3 linked regions of the Mytilus edulis genome follow. The protein of the gene in region 3 interacts with the protein of the main gene of each other region in a pairwise test. Links are inferred from orthologs where the notes say so. Each region holds a gene or a part of one and is shown on either strand. Other genes may lie near its edges.

The links.
Region 1: the proteins of disks large homolog 1-like (region 3) and vang-like protein 2-B interact in a two-hybrid assay, tested with the Drosophila melanogaster proteins (3 studies listed by BioGRID). The link is inferred for Mytilus edulis from reciprocal best matches to the Drosophila melanogaster genes dlg1 and Vang.
Region 2: the proteins of disks large homolog 1-like (region 3) and potassium voltage-gated channel subfamily A member 1-like interact in binary tests that used the Drosophila melanogaster proteins (3 or more experiments, as listed by UniProt). The link is inferred for Mytilus edulis from reciprocal best matches to the Drosophila melanogaster genes dlg1 and Sh.

Annotation. Positions count from the first base shown.
Region 1 is NC_092348.1:7,029,639-7,036,586, reverse strand, and holds the start of vang-like protein 2-B, read right to left. Parts: upstream 3,023-6,948; 5' UTR 2,678-3,022; intron 1-2,677. Other genes in the region: uncharacterized protein, read left to right, coding at 5,735-5,827.
Region 2 is NC_092350.1:51,923,044-51,930,235, forward strand, and holds the start of potassium voltage-gated channel subfamily A member 1-like, read right to left. Parts: upstream 3,023-7,192; 5' UTR 2,846-3,022; coding exon 2,792-2,845; intron 1-2,791.
Region 3 is NC_092346.1:79,105,702-79,113,243, reverse strand, and holds the start of disks large homolog 1-like, read right to left. Parts: upstream 3,002-7,542; 5' UTR 2,783-3,001; coding exon 2,764-2,782; intron 715-2,763; coding exon 583-714; intron 129-582; coding exon 1-128. UniProt on the Drosophila melanogaster protein: During embryonic development, some isoforms are essential for proper neuronal differentiation and organization. Required for cell polarity; maintenance of apicobasal polarity.

The DNA of each region.
Region 1 (6,948 bases), on a different chromosome or scaffold from region 3:
ATTTTAAATTTCTGTAATAAATCAATAAAATTATGACTTAAGAAAATGCCTGTATATATATATATTCAAACATATATGTCACATATGATACAATTAGAAAAGTGCTCATTTAGAGATTCAAGTACAAATATGACATTTTTGTTCCTTTGATATTTGCAGATTTCTAAAAATATGAAATTACCAAAGCAAGCAATTGCCAGTCTAAAATTTGTACATCATAAAACACAAACATTAAAATTTCAATTGACACACATGTTGAATTTTATGTACAAATGTACATGTTTTATACCTGTACAATTTCCAAATTCAGATTTGTTTATGAAGAGAAAGCACTTTGTCTATTACTTTTTATTTAGCCCTGTACGTATATACATGTTTTTTCTTTAATTTGAACAACTTATCAAGCACTGTCAAGACTGTTCATTTCTTATGGTGTGTTGCTAAATTTTAATTTGTTGACAACTCTGGGAAAAGTTTACACTATTCTTTAAAACATAGAAAAATTAGTAGATCTCAAATTTCATTTACAAAGTTATACATTATAAAACAATACTATCATAATATCTAAAAAAAAAAAAAAATTAATTATGAAAACTTAAAGACACTTTTCAACTTTTTTTTTACAAATATATACATGCATTAAATCTAAAAAAAAATTAAGGAGCCAAAATCGGTAATACATGTACCTCACTCCTTAAAGTGAGCACTGAATGTATGAATTATATTTTGTACATATCAAAAAGAAGTACACACTGTTCTCACAAAAACATGATTTATCGATACACTTGAACAGGGCTACACAGTATTGTTTTTCCTTGATGAAACAAAACCTCCCAATTTTGCATTTATATCTTCAACTTCCCAATTAATTTGAGCCAAAATTTTATATAGACAAAAACATGATGGGGTTAGTCTTAATATTATGTTTCAGATCCTAAGCAGCTTAATATGTCAACAAGCAATCATACCACATCTTCTTTTTTATAGTTGATACTTTCCAACGTATTATACTTATAAATATAACATTAACTTTGACATGTATGGTCACTGCTGTTACTGGTATATATGTATAAAGTAAATAACAAAGACAACAGTCATCAAGTTACAATAGATGACTGCACATTTCATTTATGATACATCTTTATGCAGATAAAAGTATGTTTAACAACATTTGTTCTGATTATCAAATTAAACCTGGAGTCGTTCATCTGGCACCTAGTGTGTATTAATAATATTGACTTAATCCAAGAAACAGATAAGTACAACTGTATGTACAGTTGTACTTAACCTTTAAGAACTCTTTCAGGGGTCAAAATGATCTCTAAATTGTATTAATTTAGGGGCTCAGAGCTTACCACAACAGAGAGTGGGATTACTACCCTAATTTTCAACTCCATTCTTGAAATTTTGTTTAAAAAAGTCTCTGTCCCCTTGATTTGCAGTTAAATACCTCATGATTATTTAATTTGATCCAAGTTTGATACATTTAGAGATAATATTGTTGCATTAATTACAGTCATAGTGGGTACTACTGATGGCACTTCCAGTCTTCACACTGAATGGCAGCCCAGGCTTGTAAAATTTCTCTCGGGCCTGTTAAAATCATATCTACAGGCCAATAGAATCTAATTAATTTTTTTCAAAAATTGAGCTCCGGGCCTCTAGATTTAACAGTTCATCGTGAAGACTGCACTTCAGGTGACAGAAGTCAAAATTTGATCATTTGAATTTTAATTTTTCATAAATGAAAAAAAAAAATCTATAAGAGGGGAGAAAGATATATATCAGAGGGACTATACCGTACCGTATGGGGTTTAAACTAAGGTTGGTCATGTAAATTATTTACTGAAACCCTCATACACTTTTAAATGGCCTTGTAAATCATTTCTGATATACATGTATGTTTACATGGCAATATTATTTCGACATGTTGTTGAATTTGCAAAACATAACAAAATAAATATTGTAATATGGGAATACTTATTTTTACCAGCTTTATTATAAAACTTAATTGAAGCAGATGTAAATGTTGTGGTGGTCAGAGAGAAGGGGTACATGTTTTTAGAAAATACTGTACATGCATGTACACCAATAACTGAGGGTCGTAATAAGGGTACCTTCATGACGAATAACAGTAAAAAATCTTGCAAAATGACGTTAACAGTTATTTTTGGTGAATGACGATAAAATGTAGACTTTCTTTCAGATGATAAAAACATTGACTGATATTGACGAATCAGATTATTTTTTTTTCAAAATTAACGGTAACGATAATCATTTGAGACGAATAATGAATCACTGTAAATTTTAAACCAATATGACGATAAACAGGTGCCAAAAATGACTTGACACTTGACGTCAAAGGGCATTACTACCCTCATAACTGCTTCATAAATGCATCTGAAAAATTATGTGGTATATATACATTTGTACATGTACTATTTATCTATTACTCAGCAACAAGCAGGACGATGTCGATGCTATAAACTACTTAATACGAGGGTGTTTTAATACATAGATATTTCTTTGTGTAGGATATACAGGAATAAAGACTAAAACGACCGCGAATAATATTAAGAATTATGTACAATTGAAATGTTGTTCGACTACCGGAGTACCGCCGGTGGTGAATCACTTGAGATTCCTTGTAAGCTGAGGAGCTTCAAACTTTACTTACCAAAACTTCTACATAAATCTGTGACAATTAATGGAAACCTTAATCCACAATCCCATTTGCCTTAATGTCAAAGCATTGGATATTTCAATTCAAAATTTCGCTTTGTTTTCTAATGAACTATTCAAATTTCAGGAGACCATTTTGCTTTTGAATTTGCTATTGTGTAACCCACCCGCCAAAACTTGGAACAAAATAAAACGTATTCGTTAGAAAATAACTCCAAAAAAAAGTAACCACCTGTAAAACAACTAAACGAGAAAATTATAGTGCAGCAAAAGGATGAATAAAATTAAAGAATGAACTGAAAATGTGAAATAATGATTTAAATATGTGTGGGAGGTCAACAGAAGAGCTACATATCCGGTTAAATGGGACTTCCGGTGCATCTTTAAGCTGTCTGTGTACACCAAGGGCTACAAGTTTTTAGCTGTTTAGAGAAGGCCGAACAGAATATCCAGACATCAAAGTTAAAGGTATTAAAAGAATTTAATGAGAAGAAATAAAAATCGATCTATTTAAGCGTTGTCACATAGTCATAGTCATAAAATGTCCACCTGAATATAGGAAAAGGGGGGGGGGGGGGGATTTTGGTTTGTAAACCCCCCCATTGACAGAAACAAGTGCATGTGGGTTGAGGGGAAGACACCATCACCATTGTTCTCTCTGGACGACATGATTAAATTTTATATCAAAACGATATATGTCATACATCAGAGCAACAACCTTTTAAAATAAATTTATTACTAAGAATATTATAGACCAACAAGTCTGTTACAACAAACGAGCATTCATAGTTCCAAATAGCCAGACTGAATAGTTCAAAAACTCCACATTTGTACCCGGAGGACACATTAGTGTGTGTCACTTTAACTGAGGAGTTTCAAACAGCACTACTCAGCAAGCACGATTAAATCGTGCGCACAACAGCCCATCACACAATAGCTGGAAGGAATCTGTGATGCACTTAACCATATACAGAGGTGGAAAATACAGATGCATAGTGTACAAACTAATGATAAACTGACATTACAATACAACACATGCAATAAGTTACAACCCTTCATGAACTTCTTCCTTTGTATATCTGTATTCAAAAAAGGATAATGACATTGAAACAAGAAGTTATGCATAAAACTTTTCAAGGAGTCTGGAGAAAAGTCTAAACCTTTGTAAACAGGTCAAACAAAGAATTTGTATTACTTTTGATTTGTGTTTTAAAAAAAAGTTGATCATAATCTATTAAAGTTTCAAAATATTTGCTTTCTAAACTACATGTATGCTTTCCTTTAAAAGCTCATTACTGGTGACCTTTGTTTTTGAAACACTTGACCCAAATATAAAGTTGTTGAAGACTGAAATGACTGTTTTTTTCCCCAGATTGGACTAAATAGCAATACAAATAAAGTACCGCAAGCAATACTGGTGTCATCACCTTGTTTATAATAATTATGTCCTTAGCTTCCAGTGATCGGGAAGGACGTGCGCCCTGCGCCTATAGCGCATATTGACCAGAAATGGCGCATAGAGTGACAAATGTAAGGGCCCACGTGGCGCACAATATTTTTCACATCGTTTCGAAAAGTTTAGATATCGTCAAATGGATTTCATATCGTTTTCCGTGCCGCCATGTGTGTGTTTACAACTGTATAATGTTCCTCCAATCATTGGAGCACCAATATATTTTTGGGACGTCCCGGGTGTTTTCCTATGGTAATAGAACCATGCGGTTTTAAGTCTCGGGTGTTTTTCTATGGTAATAATAGAACCATGCGGTCTAAATGATAACCCAAAAAACGTAATTAACCATCATTCATGATATAACTTTTTATAAACAACTTTAAATTTATGAAATTTGGCTATTACAGACGAGATGTAACTCTAATCTTTTAATTTAGTTTAGCTTGCTATTATTTCGATTGAAAAAAACCCAAGTCTTTTTATGAATATAGTTTTTGTCTCCATAAAAGGCGCTTAACTGTCCTTGTCATTTTTTTGGTCTTTGGCTCGTTTTGACATTTTGTAAACATGACCTCAGCAAATAATTGTTTTGTTCTAACAATAATGGTACTCTCTGCTGTTAATCTTGTCAACGTGATGAAGTAATAATAATAATACAAGAAGTGCCTGAAATGTTCTCTAATACGGAACGTCTGCAATAAGTATGGTATCGACGAAGACCCAAATTTAATGTTAAAAATAAACAACCATGAACATGAACAAGCCAAGGCAACAGTACCAGTTTAAACTTTGTAATTTACAGATTATCTTTAATATTGTCTGTTTTGGAAGAAGTTATTGTATATTCTATTTCATTGAAATTACCGAATCACAGGAACAATATCCATGATATTATTTAAAATAATCAAGGTAAGTACCAACACCTCTTTGCCAAAAAATAATGATAATTTTTATTTTTTTACAGAAGTCAATTCAAATGGCCCAACCATTTGACAACATGGCCCATTATCTTTAAAAATGGCCCATTGAATTTATTTTTGAGGGGCCCTGGGCCCATAGTGAAAAAAACCTTCCAGATCACTGAGCTTCTCATCCCAGTCAAAACAGAAAAAAAGTATTGTCCTATGCAGGATTTTTCTTTACTTTGAATGAATTTTGAATTATTTTCATTTTGTTGTTTTCAAAACAGTCGTACACCCACTTGAAGGATTTTTTGAATGTTTTTAATTGGACATGAATAAAGAGGGGTGAAAGATACCAGATGGACATTCAAAAACATGATTTAAAGGGATAAATGTAAGTGAGATAGTAACTCAAAATTAAATTAGAGTAAGCATCCTAACAATTTATTGTCTTTACCATACATACAAATTAAACCCTAAATGGATAGAAAATGGACATTTTGTTGTAAGACTTTATGTTTCAGTTAATATTATAATACTACATATATGACATAAGACTACAATACATAAGAGTCTAAAAAAAAAAAAAATTCAACAAAACTTTGGTACAGAATTATTTTATATAATTTATAAAAGGATAGGATTTACAGGCTTTATTTATAATTGAAATTATTCATGTTTTCTTTTTCACAGGAAAATGTCACCACCAGAGCCCAAAGAATTCCTACCTGGAGTACCAGATTGGAGCACAGTACATGAACCATCTGGAGATCTGTTTAAGCCTATTACAGTGAGTGTTAATGCAACTAATAATATTTTAATGATTATTGTCTTGTCACAAGTTGTGTACTATTATTTGTCTGTTTGTCTTTCTCATTTTTATCCATGGCATTGTCAGTTTATTTTCAATCTATGATTTTGAATGTCCCTCTGGTATCTTTCGCTCCTTTTCTATCTCTACCTGAATCCTGTTTATAAGATGTTTTCAAACATAAACCTAGTTTTAAAGATGGACAGCGATTAAAATTTATTCACACAATGTCATTTTCACATGAAATCAACAATGTAAGTCTTAGTTAACTTAACATATAAATTATGTGGGATATGCTCAGAATTATCCAAGATACTGGAACAACAGACATTTGTGCATGTGCTTGTTATGTTACAAATAAAGGATAAAACAGTCAGTCACTGCTAAATTGACAACAACATTTAGTGTTACTGAACACATTTGAAGTGTATAAAGTCTACAATTTAATTTCTTCTACTCTTTTGACAACCCTGCATACCATCAGTATCCATTTAAGGGGGCTCGCGGGTCTAAATCAATTTTTTTATTTAATATAGGATTTCGCTATATTTTTCTATAAAAGAACTTTATTCTATTCTTAATAGAAAAAATAAATAAAAAAATGGGGTCACCGTTCATTTACGCTCACAATCTGGCTTCGAAAGAAGCATACATTTTTGTTAATGTCCTTTTTTTCTGTTGAACTAATAGGAGAAAAAGCGGTAATATCGAAATAAAAAAAGAACTAAATTACAGAAATCGTTTAAATTTTACAATTATTTAGTTTATGTACAGCTAATTCGAAAACAACAATAAAAAATATAGGTCACCGATGAGTTAAAAAAGATATTTCAATTTAAATGCCAAAAAATGGCATTTTTGCACCAAAGGGAGATAATTTGGAGCTTTTTCAATGATATCTACAATTTAAATGTCACCTGGGACCAACACGAATTGAGTTTTTGGAATGATTTTTGTACCATATGATAAAGAAACAACTACTAAAGGTAATTAATAAAATTTGTAATGAAAAATAAATGTTAAATTTTTTTCTGAAAATTTTATATCCGCGAGCCTCCTTAAGAAATCTCTACCTTCACCAAACTTTAGAGGCATTGGTT
Region 2 (7,192 bases), on a different chromosome or scaffold from region 3:
TTGCACAGGGTAGATTCATAATAGGTTTTAAAAATTTATTATATATGATGATTTCTATTATTGCTCAAGGTGGTTTGAGTATCCAGATGTCAATATTTTGGTTTCTTGACAAGATTTGTTTACGCCTTAATGAATCTTTTATAAAATTTGGGTTGATAATGCCTTCATGGAATGAAAAAAAAAGTTCTAGTGACCTAAAGATTACAAGGTCAAAGGTCATGGTTACAAATACATTTGACACAGAAATTGTGGCAACATTTGATTTTAAAAGGATGTCATTTGAACAAAATATGATATCTATCAATCATGGTTTGGTTTCAGACTCGTTTGTAATCCAATAAGAGAAGGAAGAAGACAGACCCCTATGGATTTTTGAATTATAAGGTCAAAGGTGAAGGTCACAGCAGTTATTGATAGATTGATTTTGGAACAATGATATACCTTGTATTTATTAAACCATATGTCCACCTTTCATGCATAATTTATGAATTCAAACAAATTCCTGTAAACAAGCAGTAAATATTTGTAGTAAGCACAACTTTCCTTTTGAGTTACATTTGAAATTTGGCAGTAAACAGATCCGTGTTTGCTGTAGAAGATTGATCCCTATGTTGATCTTTTAAACTATGTATCAATAAGCATGACTTACATCTGTCAGACAAGATCACATCAGTGCTAATCAATTTATTATTTAACCTATCCAGTTGCATACCAAAATATATCTATATTGTATCAGAACAGATGGGGGTTTTTGAACATGATTGTTATTTTGTGTATTGTATATCCATAGTATTATAGGTTGAATCCATATTTGACTTACTATAGCAATTCAAATGTTTAAAAAATAGCGACATCTGTTACAGATTGTTGAAGTTCAACAACAAAATTCTGAAATTGTCTGTTTTTCTTAATAATATCATCAACTTGTTCAACTTGTTTTGGTCAGACAACTAAAATGTACTAATTTTTGTCTCGCCTTGACAGAGTCAAAAAGCGAGACATAGGTATGCTGTTTCCGGCGACGGCGTCAACAATGTATTAGTTTGTGATTAGCACTAGTTTAATTATGGTAAACCACAAGGGGAAGGTCAATCATATTTGGTATGCAGTTGTATAAACATTGGCATATCTCATTTCCATGGAGATAATTTGGCCCCGCCCCCTTAGTCATGGTCTATTGACTTCGAAAATACAAACATTAACTTGTCATTGAAGCTCCAAAGTGTTCCTAATCAATAATTTATAAGTTAGAAATAAATTACGCAGATTCCATAAAACATGTAAAAGATCTGCTACTGACAACAAATTTAAAAGAAAAAGCATTCAGATATAAGACTACAACTGGCAAGGTATGTTCTATGTGTACAGTATGTGTTTCAATAGTCAACATGCGGTGTAATAAGGGCAATTGGCCCTGTGGTCAAGTGTAAATGATCTTCAGCCCTTGACAATAAAGCAATGTAACTGTTATACTCGTAAGATAATATCAAACGTCATAACTTCAATGTATGACGTATATGCTATGATGATTTTGGCGGAGAAAGTCAAAAGTCTGGGATGCATTACTATGGTAAAAATGGAATTAGTAACATAAATATACAAGGCATACTCTTTTCATTATTGTTGGAATTCAGGTGAGGGGCCTTGCTAAGGGTTTTCTGAGTTCATGTATCAATAAATCCTCTGGTTCAATTGAACCAATGATAATAAAGCATTTCTGTATTCTTAACATTTAAAGACAGAATTTTTATAAGAGGAAAATTAAAGAAAACTTTTGTATGTTTATTTTATTTTTGAGAAGCAAATTCAAAAATCCAATGGTAGGCACAAAAAGTCCTGTATGATCCTGCTTACATTACCGTCAAAATTATAAATAGAGAGACATGTATACATGCAAAGCATAAGATCAATAAAACAAGTGGCAGATTCTTACAAGTATGCAGTAATTAATTTTTAGTTCCTTTAGACTTTCCATGTGATTTACTTTGTTACATTATAGATCATAAGCAGATGTCATAAGTCAGTCTGAGAGAAGTCTTAATTATTTATATAAATGTGTGATCCTCTTAAAATCATGCAGCTAAAAATAGAAAATGTGAGACATAGTTGGAAAAAGAGCGGGAAAATTATTTATTTCAAACGACAGTGTTTTAATTCAGTTTTTGGTAGGTTTTAAGGTAGTTTTTAGGATAATCCTTATTAGTAAACTTATTTTAAAACTGAACTAGTATATATTTGTTTAGGGGCCAGTTGAAGGACGCCTCTGGGTGGGGGAATTTCTCGCTACATTGAAGACCTGTTGGTGACCTTCTGCTGTTGTTTTTTTCTATGGTCGGGTTGTTGTTTCTTTGGCACATTCCCCATTTCCATTCTCAATTTTATTTTTTACAAAATTGTATCTTTATTTGTTTTATTTTAAAAAAAATCAAAGTTATGTAATATTAATACAACAGTTGGTCCTTAGTTGATCATTATGTAAATTAATTATTGATATATGCAAATTGCTAAATATACATGCAATTTTTTTAAGAAATGTCAGCTTTTGTTTTTGACCTTAACTGACAAACATTGAATATGGTAACAGGTCCCTTCTTCAACAGTAGGTTTTTAAAAAGTGGATATTAGATTTCAAGGTTTTGCCACAAAGTCTGCACACCCTCCTATAGAAAATTTACGATTATTTTAACATTTAAACTTATGGTTTACCTGTACCTATGAAATCCACAAAAATTGGTATCCGACAAGTAAAACTAAGTCCCCGTACTTAAATAAAAGGTAAACAAGCTCTTACCTCATCACCACTGCTTCCCCAGAAGAAAATTCCACCGAGCCTATTGAACATCATAATAAATGTCACCAGGCACTGACAGGGAATCACAAGAATTTCCTATCTAATGCAACGCACATTTTGACAGCATCATTTGATCAACACTAGAAACAATTAGGGGAATCGTTGAATGATACATGTATGAAGCATCCTTAGGTTGTACAGTATTCACATTAAGCTGAAAAGTCATATGTCAAAAGTACATGCAATTGTACTTTTTTGTAAAAAAGATAAAAAAAGTTGAAAATTTATAGCTGTTGTTTGCTCATATGCAACAATGTTATACTTTGGCAAGTGAATAGCGCCAAGTTGTAGCGATCAGCTGTTAGATAATTTGTCAATGAGATGTACTTTAGGAGAATTAATTATGATTTATGCTGTAAGGTTAAGTCTAAACCATTTAAATATCACAAACTGACAAGGAATTATAGCCAATGAATTTCTCTTTGATCATATACTTTCCAACAAATAGTGAAAAAGCAGACGTCCAGTCAAATGGTATGACCTCGGTTCATTACACAACTACAGTGCACATTATGCACGAATAGTATGATACAGGTGCATGAAGCATATTCCATGTCATAAATTTCAAATGCATCAACACACCAGAGAACACAGATATTAAGATTGTGGCATTTTGACAACCAGATACTTCCTAAAACATCATAGTTTAGATATGGCACAAATACATGTAGATGCTTTAATTCATGAACAAGAGGTATTTGGACCAGAAGTGAACATTAGATGTAAAAAAAAAATACATAAAACAAGCAATGTGTGTTAACTATTTGGCAGAGAGAGTGAAAAAGTATATGAGTTACTCTACCAACTTATGAAAGAATATGATGTTTTTGATGTATAGGATTAGGCAAAGCTTAACTAATTTGTCGGTTATTATGACTGAAGAGCCATTATTCTTAAGCCAAGCTGACATAGTGTGGTCAGTTTTTCAAGATATTAGTCTTTAAGTCATTACTTAATTGTTGTTTAGTGTTATGAATCAAGTGTTGTGCTTTAGACCACAACCATTATTTTCAAAGTGGCTACAGTAAGCAGATTAAATTTATTGGGACTGGTAACAAAACCAGCAGTTTAGGTCTATGTTCAAAGTTAGACCATGCTTATTGTTATAGTGAAAGGTTGCTTGATTCAGGCTACATGTAATCAAGAACATTATCTATCATTTGCCTATTGGGCATCTATATTCTAAAATGTAAAACTAATTGCCACTGATTTATTTTTCACAGCAAGAAAAACAAATGTTTTTATCATGTATACAGTTTTGCTTTTAATCTCTTGTATTACTGTGTCAAAGGTATTGAAAAATTATTTAAAAAAGGCCAAGGGTGTAAAAAAAAGTTGTTATTTAATCAGTATGTAGACAGTATATGATGTATTAAGATCATCGGAGAGATGATGGTGTTTATTAATGATAATTGTTACCATATCTATGTTTTGTATACGTAGACAACACTGAGTGATATGTTTATTGATGGGTGATAAATACCAGTATTGGAGTGAAGCCATCTCCTTGTCAGTTTTACTGTTGTCTCACATATGCTACATCATTACCAGAGTGTTTCATACTTAGGCCACCTACTAAATGGCTATAATTTATAGTGTGGGTTTGGTTTGGTGTGGAGTCTTTAGGCCACCTACTAAATGGCTATAATTTATAGTGTGGGTTTGGTTTGGTGTGGAGTCTTTAGGCCACCTACTAAATGGCTATAATTTATAGTGTGGGTTTAGTTTGGTGTGGAGTCTTTAGGCCACCTACTAAATGGCTATAATTTATAGTGTGGGTTTGGTTTGGGGTAGAGTCTTTAGGCCACCTACTAAATGGCTATAATTTATAGTGTGGGTTTAGTTTGGGGTGGAGTCTTTAGGCCACCTACTAAATGGCTATAATTTATAGTGTGGGATTGGTTTGGGATGGAGTCTTTAGGCCACCTACTAAATGGCTATAATTTATAGTGTGTATTTGGTTTGGTGTGGAGTCTTTAGGCCACCTACTAAATGGCTATAATTTATAGTGTGGGTTTAGTTTGGGGTGGAGTCTTTAGGCCACCTACTAAATGGCTATAATTTATAGTGTTGGTTTGGTTTGGGATGGAGTCTTTAGGCCACCTACTAAACGGGTATAATTTATAGTGTGGGATTGGTTTGGGGTGGAGTCTTTAGGCCACCTACTAAACGGGTATAATTTATAGTGTGGGTTTGGTTTGGGATGGAGTCTTTAGGCCACCTACTAAATGGCTATAATTTATAGTGTGGGTTTGGTTTGGGGTGGAGTCTTTAGGCCACCTACTAAATGGCTATAATTTATAGTGTGGGTTTAGTTTGGGGTGGAGTCTTTAGGCCACCTACTAAATGGCTATAATTTATAGTGGGTTTGGTTTGGTGTGGAGTCTTTAGGCCACCTACTAAATGGCTATAATTTATAGTGTGGGTTTAGTTTGGGGTGGAGTCTTTAGGCCACCTACTAAATGGCTATAATTTATAGTGTGGGTTTGGTTTGGGGTAGAGTCTTTAGGCCACCTACTAAATGGCTATAATTTATAGTGTGGGTTTAGTTTGGGGTGGAGTCTTTAGGCCACCTACTAAATGGCTATAATTTATAGTGCGGGATTGGTTTGGGATGGAGTCTTTAGGCCACCTACTAAATGGCTATAATTTATAGTGTGGGTTTGGTTTGGGGTGGAGTCTTTAGGCCACCTACTAAACGGGTATAATTTATAGTGTGGGTTTGGTTTGGGATGGAGTCTTTAGGCCACCTACTAAATGGCTATAATTTATAGTGTGGGTTTGGTTTGGGGTGGAGTCTTTGGGCCACCTACTAAATGGCTATAATTTATAGTGTGGGTTTAGTTTGGGGTGGAGTCTTTAGGCCACCTACTAAATGGCTATAATTTATAGTGTTGGTTTGGTTTGGGATGGAGTCTTTAGGCCACCTACTAAACGGGTATAATTTATAGTGTGGGATTGGTTTGGGGTGGAGTCTTTAGGCCACCTACTAAACGGGTATAATTTATAGTGTGGGTTTGGTTTGGGATGGAGTCTTTAGGCCACCTACTAAATGGCTATAATTTATAGTGTGGGTTTGGTTTGGGGTGGAGTCTTTAGGCCACCTACTAAATGGCTATAATTTATAGTGTGGGTTTAGTTTGGGGTGGAGTCTTTAGGCCACCTACTAAATGGCTATAATTTATAGTGGGTTTGGTTTGGTGTGGAGTCTTTAGGCCACCTACTAAATGGCTATAATTTATAGTGTGGGTTTAGTTTGGGGTGGAGTCTTTAGGCCACCTACTAAATGGCTATAATTTATAGTGTGGGTTTGGTTTGGGGTAGAGTCTTTAGGCCACCTACTAAATGGCTATAATTTATAGTGTGGGTTTAGTTTGGGGTGGAGTCTTTAGGCCACCTACTAAATGGCTATAATTTATAGTGCGGGATTGGTTTGGGATGGAGTCTTTAGGCCACCTACTAAATGGCTATAATTTATAGTGTGTATTTGGTTTGGTGTGGAGTCTTTAGGCCACCTACTAAATGGCTATAATTTATAGTGTGGGTTTAGTTTGGGGTGGAGTCTTTAGGCCACCTACTAAATGGCTATAATTTATAGTGTGGGTTTGGTTTGGGGTAGAGTCTTTAGGCCACCTACTAAATGGCTATAATTTATAGTGTGGGTTTGGTTTGGGGTGGAGTCTTTAGGCCACCTACTAAATGGCTATAATTTATAGTTAGGGTTTGGTTTGGGGTGGAGTCTTTAGGCCACCTACTATATGGCTATAATTTATAGTGTGGGTTTAGTTTGGGGTGGAGTCTGTAGGCCACCAACTAAATGGCTATAATTTATAGTGTGTGTTTGGTTTGGGGTAGAGTCTTTAGGCTGCCTGCTAAATGGCTATAATTTATAGTGTGGGTTTGGTTTTGGGTGGAGTTTTTAGGCCACCTACTAAATGGGTATAATTTATAGTGTGGGTTTGGTTTTGGGTGGAGTCTTTAGGCCACCTACTAAATGGGTATAATTTATAGTGTGGGTTTGGTTTGGGATGGAGTCTTTTTGTCTTTCTATGAAGGTGTTAATTCAGAGTGTTTCCAACTTAGGCCACCTACTAGATGGCTATTATGAATTTATATTCAGGGTAGGTTTGGTTTTGGGTAGAGTCTTTTTAGGCCACCTACCTAAATGGGTATAATTTATGTTTTCCCATAAACAGCTCTCTTTATACATTTGTATATTCTGTCATTAGACATTTTGATGTAGGATCCTTTAGTATATTTATCTACAAAACTAATGGTGAACATAGATCTGAAAAGATGTGGTTATGAGTGCCAATTAGACAACTCTCCATCCATTAGTCA
Region 3 (7,542 bases):
TTTAGGAAGAGCATTGGTGATAGGTGGTTCTCTCTCCCACTTGTTAGCTATCTGTAAGGTCTCCAATGTCTTCTGTTGTATAGATTTTGAGTCATCTAACAATGTATACTCATAAAACTCTTGTATGTCTGAAAACAGAAGTTAGTATCATTTTCAATTAGCTCCATTTATACCAGATACATTTTTTTTTTATTCTAATGTGATAGTACATTATGTAACATTTAAATAGGTTAAAACCATGAACATAATTTTAGCCTCTGTACATGCCAAATTCAGTACTACAGTCCTTGCTTTGTTAAGCAAAGTATAAAACCATTATTATAAATTTGTAATGCAGTAATTATAACTAATACTAAATCAGTAACTTTGTGCAAATCACTTGTTATTGAAATGCAATAATATTCAGTTTTTATATACATGTAGATAATAATAAAGGCCTTAATCATTGCGTATCATGCAAACTAAGTTAATGTGGATCATGTGCATGTACCTTATGTAAAAATGTTGTATTCCAAAAATTGAGCCAATCACTCTGTCTTAAATAAAAGAAGAACTTCCACCTTAAATATTAATTTTACATACCAAGAAGTGCCTGAAATAGGCGACTTTTGAAAATTCTTATGACTTTCTCTATAGCAACCTTGAGCTGGGTGTCTTGTGGAAGACTAAGCCTGGAATGGTAGTCCTCTAACAATTCTAAAGCCCTGTGGGCATCTATGAAAAGAAGAGAAAAAAGAAAAATGCAAAATTGTATTAAACATCTTGTTCGAAAGCAACATTCACCTGTTCGCAGTAACCTCTTCATTTTCAAAGACATAAACAATCAGCCTCAGGTACATGTATCCAGGAAAGCGTAAACCAAAAGATGAAGCTTTCACTGAATACATGTATGTAATCACTAGCACTTACATGAAGTAACAAAAAAATTAGATATTTTGAGAAATTTGCATGTGCATGTAAATTTTTCATAAATCAGATAAGGACTATTCAATTTCAGAAAAAAAGTCAGGCATATTTCCTGAATTTGTTTCATTTTAGTTATAAAATGTTGAATTTGAAAATAAGTTAAAACACTAAAATAGTATAAGATTTAAATTTACTACACGAGCCGTTACTTAAGCATTTTTTAAGTGGTGTGTATAAATTTAAAAGACTATAGCTAGAACATATCAAGAACGCAGATGGGCCAAGTTACAATGGGATATTTTATTTTGCAAGTGGGAGAGAGTTTGAGAACAGTTTCTCACAGACAATATACTTTTTAATTTCTCATATATATTATTAATGGTACAATTTTTTTTAATCGAGGCGATGGTTTGGCCAGTTTGTGCATATAAAAAAGAAGATATGGTATGATTCACTAATATTGCCAATGAAACAACTCTCCACAAGAGATCAAATGACACAGAAATTAACAATTATACACGTAGGTCTTGTTTTCACTAGATTTATAACTCAATTTAAATGTTTCTTTTTTTTGTTTTTTTTTATCTACCTCAATAACATTGTATTTCTGCTGATTGACTCTCTCACACAGAGAACATTGATGAGAACATGTTTTAATCATAAAAGGAATTCAGGTTCTCACAGTAGAGAAAATCTTTCATGGGGAGCAAATGAATTATTTGAGTTAATTCATCAAGAAGATGCATGTTAACTTTTATAGTAAAGCAAAAGCCTTTGCAGTCTTCACGCCGAGTGGCAGCTCAGGCTGGTAAAACTGGTAAAATTTCTCTCAGGCCTGAAAAAATCAGACCTACAGACCAACAGAAACTAACTAAAAAATTTCAAAAATTAAGCTGCGGGCCTGTAAATTTAGCAGTTCAGCGTGAAGACTGTTTTTTGTTGTTGTAATTTTAGAACCAGGGTTAGTTTGCACTTATACCTGTTTGCCCAGATTTTTGTTTTTTATATTGTTGTCTAGTTGCACTATCATGTTCATATAATATTTGAACATGAACAAAGTATGTTACTTTATGTGGAAAAATTTGCTAAAATATTTGTATTGCTGCAACCAAATATTTTCCTTTAGTCTGCATAGTAGAATTTTGGAATACAATGTATTTATCTTTTAATATTGATATCTTTTACAATTTTAATAATTCTAGTCAGTCAATTTATATTATATTATAATGAATGAACTTATGTTTTACAATTCCTACACAATTGTTTTTACTCATTTCAAATTTCAAGCTGACTAAATTATCAAAACAAAATGTTGTTTTTATTATTCATCCATCAAAGACAATTAATTATTATGACAAGCAGTGAGAGATATAGTATTAAGAACAATTACAATTCTCACAAACACGCCATTAATTTTAAATATTTTCATGTGTTTTCATTTATACTAGAATTTATATACCATATAAATATCTGAATAAGTATATTCAACTTTGACACCCTCATACAAATATTTTTCAATAAAAGAATGGAGAAGTTTAATATCCAGGGCGTACAGACTCTATGGGGAAATAGACTCAGGGTGAACAGTCCCTGGGCAAGCATCCTATCAGGGCTAACGGACACAATACCATATATTTACTGCACATTAAGACTGTTTTATTTATGAATTTCAACCTACAGTTGTTCTTTTTTGACATAAGGTCTATGTGATTGAAAAGATAATAAGCAATAATTTGTTGACCAGATATCCCAGATATATTACAATAGTGACTATTGTAATATATAACGTGGTTATAACAATGTGCCTTTTATACACTGATTATATACATATTCATGATAAACAGGAATGCAATGCACCTTGTTTTCTGACCGGCATGTCTTGCGAAAAGCTGGTGTTCTTGTGCTCACACCCACTTCGTGGTTTGCAAGATTCTGTCTATTATTATTTAAGCAATCGCTAGGATGTGATTAATTTATGGCAAACACATTTGTTGCAGTGATTTTTATCTCTTAATTTTATGCAGGATTATTGTTTGGCGACACTTCACGATAATCAGGAAACGACCACAAACAGGAAACAGCAAAGATGGCGGCTATTCAAAACTAATAAATCACGTGATTAAAGGGATCCGCTATTTCAGGATTGTTATACTTATTTTCTATTTATAATTTCCAAATGTTTTTATATTTTGTGAAAATTCAAAATGTTTGTTTCAAAATGGATTTTTTTTGTAGTGTTTACAATGAACGGTGAGCTTAACCAATATAATAATCTTAAAAAATTGATTCCTCCTGAGGCTCAAATCCGAAATTCCGAAAGAACGAAACATGGAGGTGTCCTCTTAGAGGTCCGCGTTTAGACTCACCCAAATACCAACACGACTTCTTTTAAACATGACAACAAATGAATTCTGAGCATAAGAGTCAGTTGATCTTAAACGATAAATATGTTTTATATTAGATAAAAACATGTTTTCGTATTTTTGATAAGGCAGCAACCATTTGATTTTCGGGGGGGGGGGGGGGGGGGGACAATTTTTTTTTTGCCTGCTGCGAAAAACAATCTATTTTTTTCACAGGTGCTTGAGGACAGGATCCTGTATGAGCCCCAAATAGTCCCTCCCCCTTTTTTTAAATTTTTTTTTTAATCATAAATCTCAGATTTGTCTATATATATCCCTTATTTGTACCATATATATACTAATATACCATATTTATACTATTGATAGTAAACATGCATATTTAGAGTATAAATATGGTATATTAGTATATATATGGTACAAATAAGGGATATATATAGAAAAATCTGAGATTTATGATTAAAAAAAAAAAATTTTAAAAAAGGGGGAGGGACTATTTGGGGCTCATACAGGATCCTGTCCTCAAGCACCTGTGATTTTTTTCGCGACAAGTCGAAAACATCTTTTTTCTTTCAATTTTAGCATTACATATAGTGGCAGCTGAGGGTGAAACAAACATTTTTTTTTTCTCAGAATCAAAAACAAATGATTTTTTTTCTCCAAAAAATGGAAACAAACTTTTTTTTCCAAAAAAAAACATAGCCCCCCCCCCCCCCCCCCCCAGAAAATCAAATGCTTGCTGCCTTAGCAGAGAAGCCAATTCTATACACCTGATCGCTATTTAGTCCATTCCGGGAAAAACAGTCATTTATACAACTTCCTGTTTGGGTCACCGGCCAAAAAATGGAGGTCACCAGTAGTGAGCTGAGGGAGAAAAAAAATTAGAAAGTGATCATCAAGAAACTTTGATATAGTATGATCCACTTTTTTCGAAATTAAAATTGAAGTAAAAAAAATATTTTGTTTGAAGTATTTACGGTAGTTTAAACAGGTCTCATTAAAAAGTATCATGCATGGTGAATTGTTTAAACAGGGTCCAAGATAGCTTCAACTGGATGAAAAAGTTGTGTAATTTTAGAACTTATCCGGAATGGAATAAATAGCGATTAGGTGTATTATATGGTAATGAGATGTGGAGTTTCTCGAAAAAGTAACCCCCAGATAATATTGCTTTTTTTTTTAATCTTGAGCAAAGAAAGTTGATTAAAAATATGTAACTGTTTATCACTGTGAACAAAAACATAAATATTGGTGGAATGGGAGAGGTTTGGCGTTATTCACTGTTCTAGAAACAATTCATGAAATGTTAGAGTACTGAAAATTGTGATACATTGTTATCTGCATCATTGTTGGAATCATCACAGTTACATGAGCAGGACAAATTTTCATGGCTAGGAATCATCCATTCAATTTTTATTTTTTTTTAATTATTCACTGACTGACTATTATAAATATGTGGTATGAGTGCCAATGAGACAACTCTCCATCCAAATAACAATTTATAAATGTAAACCATTATAGGTCCAGGTACGGCCTTCAACACAGAGCCTTGGCTCACACCGAAAAGCAAGCTATAAAGGGCACCAACAATTAGTAATGTAAAACCATTCAAACGGGAAAACCAACGGTCTAAGTTATATAAAAATGACTGATTGGATTAAAAAAAAAATTGTTATACAGGTAAAAACGATTATAAACATATGTTTTAAACCTACGATATTAATTCAAACAGACCTGAAAAAATACAATTGCACGAGTACTCAGTTCGCTATCTATTTTAAGTTAAATCGGGTTATATGATCGTCGGCAGTCTTCTGAGATTACCTCGATGCTTACTGATTAGATGGCATTTAGACTAAAATACACATGAAATATTGATACATATGATCGAGTCCGTGCATCGTCAATTGTGTAGTTTAAACTTTTTATTATTTGGGTATACGTTTTAGTATGTATAATTTAAATATGAGAATTTGAGTCAAATCAGTTAAAACTTTTAACAGCTAATTACCCTTTTATGCAAATGGTAAATGACATATATTCTTAATATCCAGCTAAGTCACATTACAAACAATTATGACATAAGGATAAATGGATCTGGACCACAATGAATATACACTTGGGCGGTCTACAACATAGCTGTGTGATTTCGGAGGATATGAAACAGCACAAAACTTCCTGATAGGGCGCCACTGTATAAACGGCACAAACCATGCGTTCCAGAAATAACGAAAGAACAAGTGGTACAAAAAAATCAACACGGCAACGTTACTCACACAGCGGGATGCAAATTGATCAAATTAAACCCGTTAAAAATTCGAAGCAGTTGCTGGTTCCATCCACCAGAAAAAGAAAATGGAAGAACAGCATTCTTGGCAGCAGACAACCGTTGAACCAAGAAGCACACAGAGAATATTACAGCTGTGCATGTCATAAATGTTTAGAGGTGTAAAAGCGTTGACCGAAGTACATTTTGTATGAAGCGAGGAAGGATCATGAAAACACGACTGTTAAAGTTTTTCTTTTATTTACCTGTGTACTTAATAGAAGTATCTCTTGTCATCACGAATGTTATATTTCCGATGATTTGGAAATTAAGGTTGATTTCTGAATGACGTGAGATTGCTGGTAGACAATAGGAATAACGTATCAAAATGAAACATACAGTCATGTACTGTAATTATTTCCATTTGAAGATTTCTGTATACAAACTGGATAGTGCATTACAACAGGCACGTATGCTGCAAGAAGAAGATATTGAAGAAGCACAAGAAGATGAAGAAGATATCTTTTGGTTAAAATTTGTACATGTTGTACACAACAAAGGTTTTATTTATATGTGAAGATGTTTGATGTGACTCAGATATTTGAATATTTTCTCGGATCTCCGAAACAGTCAAGTGTAGTTCAATTTAATAAAACTACATGCTAAAGGTTTCATTTTGATATTGTTCCATTGTTATATATTTTTTACCATTAATTGATATAATCGTCTGTTAAAAGTGTATAAATATTGCTTAGCTCCATACTATAATTCAATTGAGTATAAACAAGTATATAAGATGCAACAAATCCTCAATCATGCACCAACAATAAACTTTTCAAGCCTTGATAGAAACAAATGTACACAAATATAACAACTGGCAAACTTTCCAAGCCTTGATAGAAACAAATGTACACAAATATAACAACTGGCAAACTTTCCAAGCCTTGATAGAAACAAATGTACACAAATATATCAACTGGCAAACTTTTCAAACCTTGACAGAAACAAATGTACACAAATATATAACAACTGGCAAACTTGTCAAGCCTTGACAGAAACAAATGTACACAAATATAACAACTGGCAAACCCAACAATAAACTTTTCAAGCCTTGATAGAAACAAATGTGCACAAATATAACAACTGGCAAACTTTTCAAGCTTTGATAGAAACAAATGTACACAAATATAACAACTGGCAAACCCAACAATAAACTTTTCAAGCCTTGATAGAAACAAATGTACACAAATATAACAACTGGCAAACCAACAACAAACTTTTCAAGCCTTGATAGAAACAAATGTACACAAATATAACAACTGGCAAACTTTTCAAGCCTTGGTAGAAACAAATGTACACAAATATAACAACTGGCAAACCCAACAATAAACTTTTCAAGCCTTGATAGAAACAAATGTACACAAATATAACAACTGGCAAACCCAACAATAAACTTTTCAAGCCTTGATAGAAACAAATGTACACAAATATAACAACTGGCAAACTTTTCTAGCCTTGATAGAAACAAATGTACACAAATCATGACAACTGGCAAACTTCCCAAGCGTTATATATGCTTTTTAATTAACCGACTTAGTATACATTTTATTTGAGTTATTTGATTTTATTTGATTCGATCTTTCTCTGAATAAAGTCATACGCATGTCTTTCAAATGAACGTATGTGATAAAAATTTACGAAGCAAGAGTCTACTGAATAGACAAGTTCCTCAGCGGACTGTAATAGCACCAATACTCTCAGTTCTCCATGTTCTAGTATGATATTAACGACCTTCTTGGTAACAGTAAAATAAGACTCTTTGCAGACGACAGCATTATCTATCGGCATATAACCTACCAAAATGATTGCATTAAGCTTCAATTTAAGAAGACATCAAAGCAGCAATAAAACAAGAACGTGTCCAAAGTACACGGATGCCCCACTCGCACTATCATTTTCCATGTTCAATAGACCATGAAATTGGGTAAAATTAATCAAATTTGGTATTAA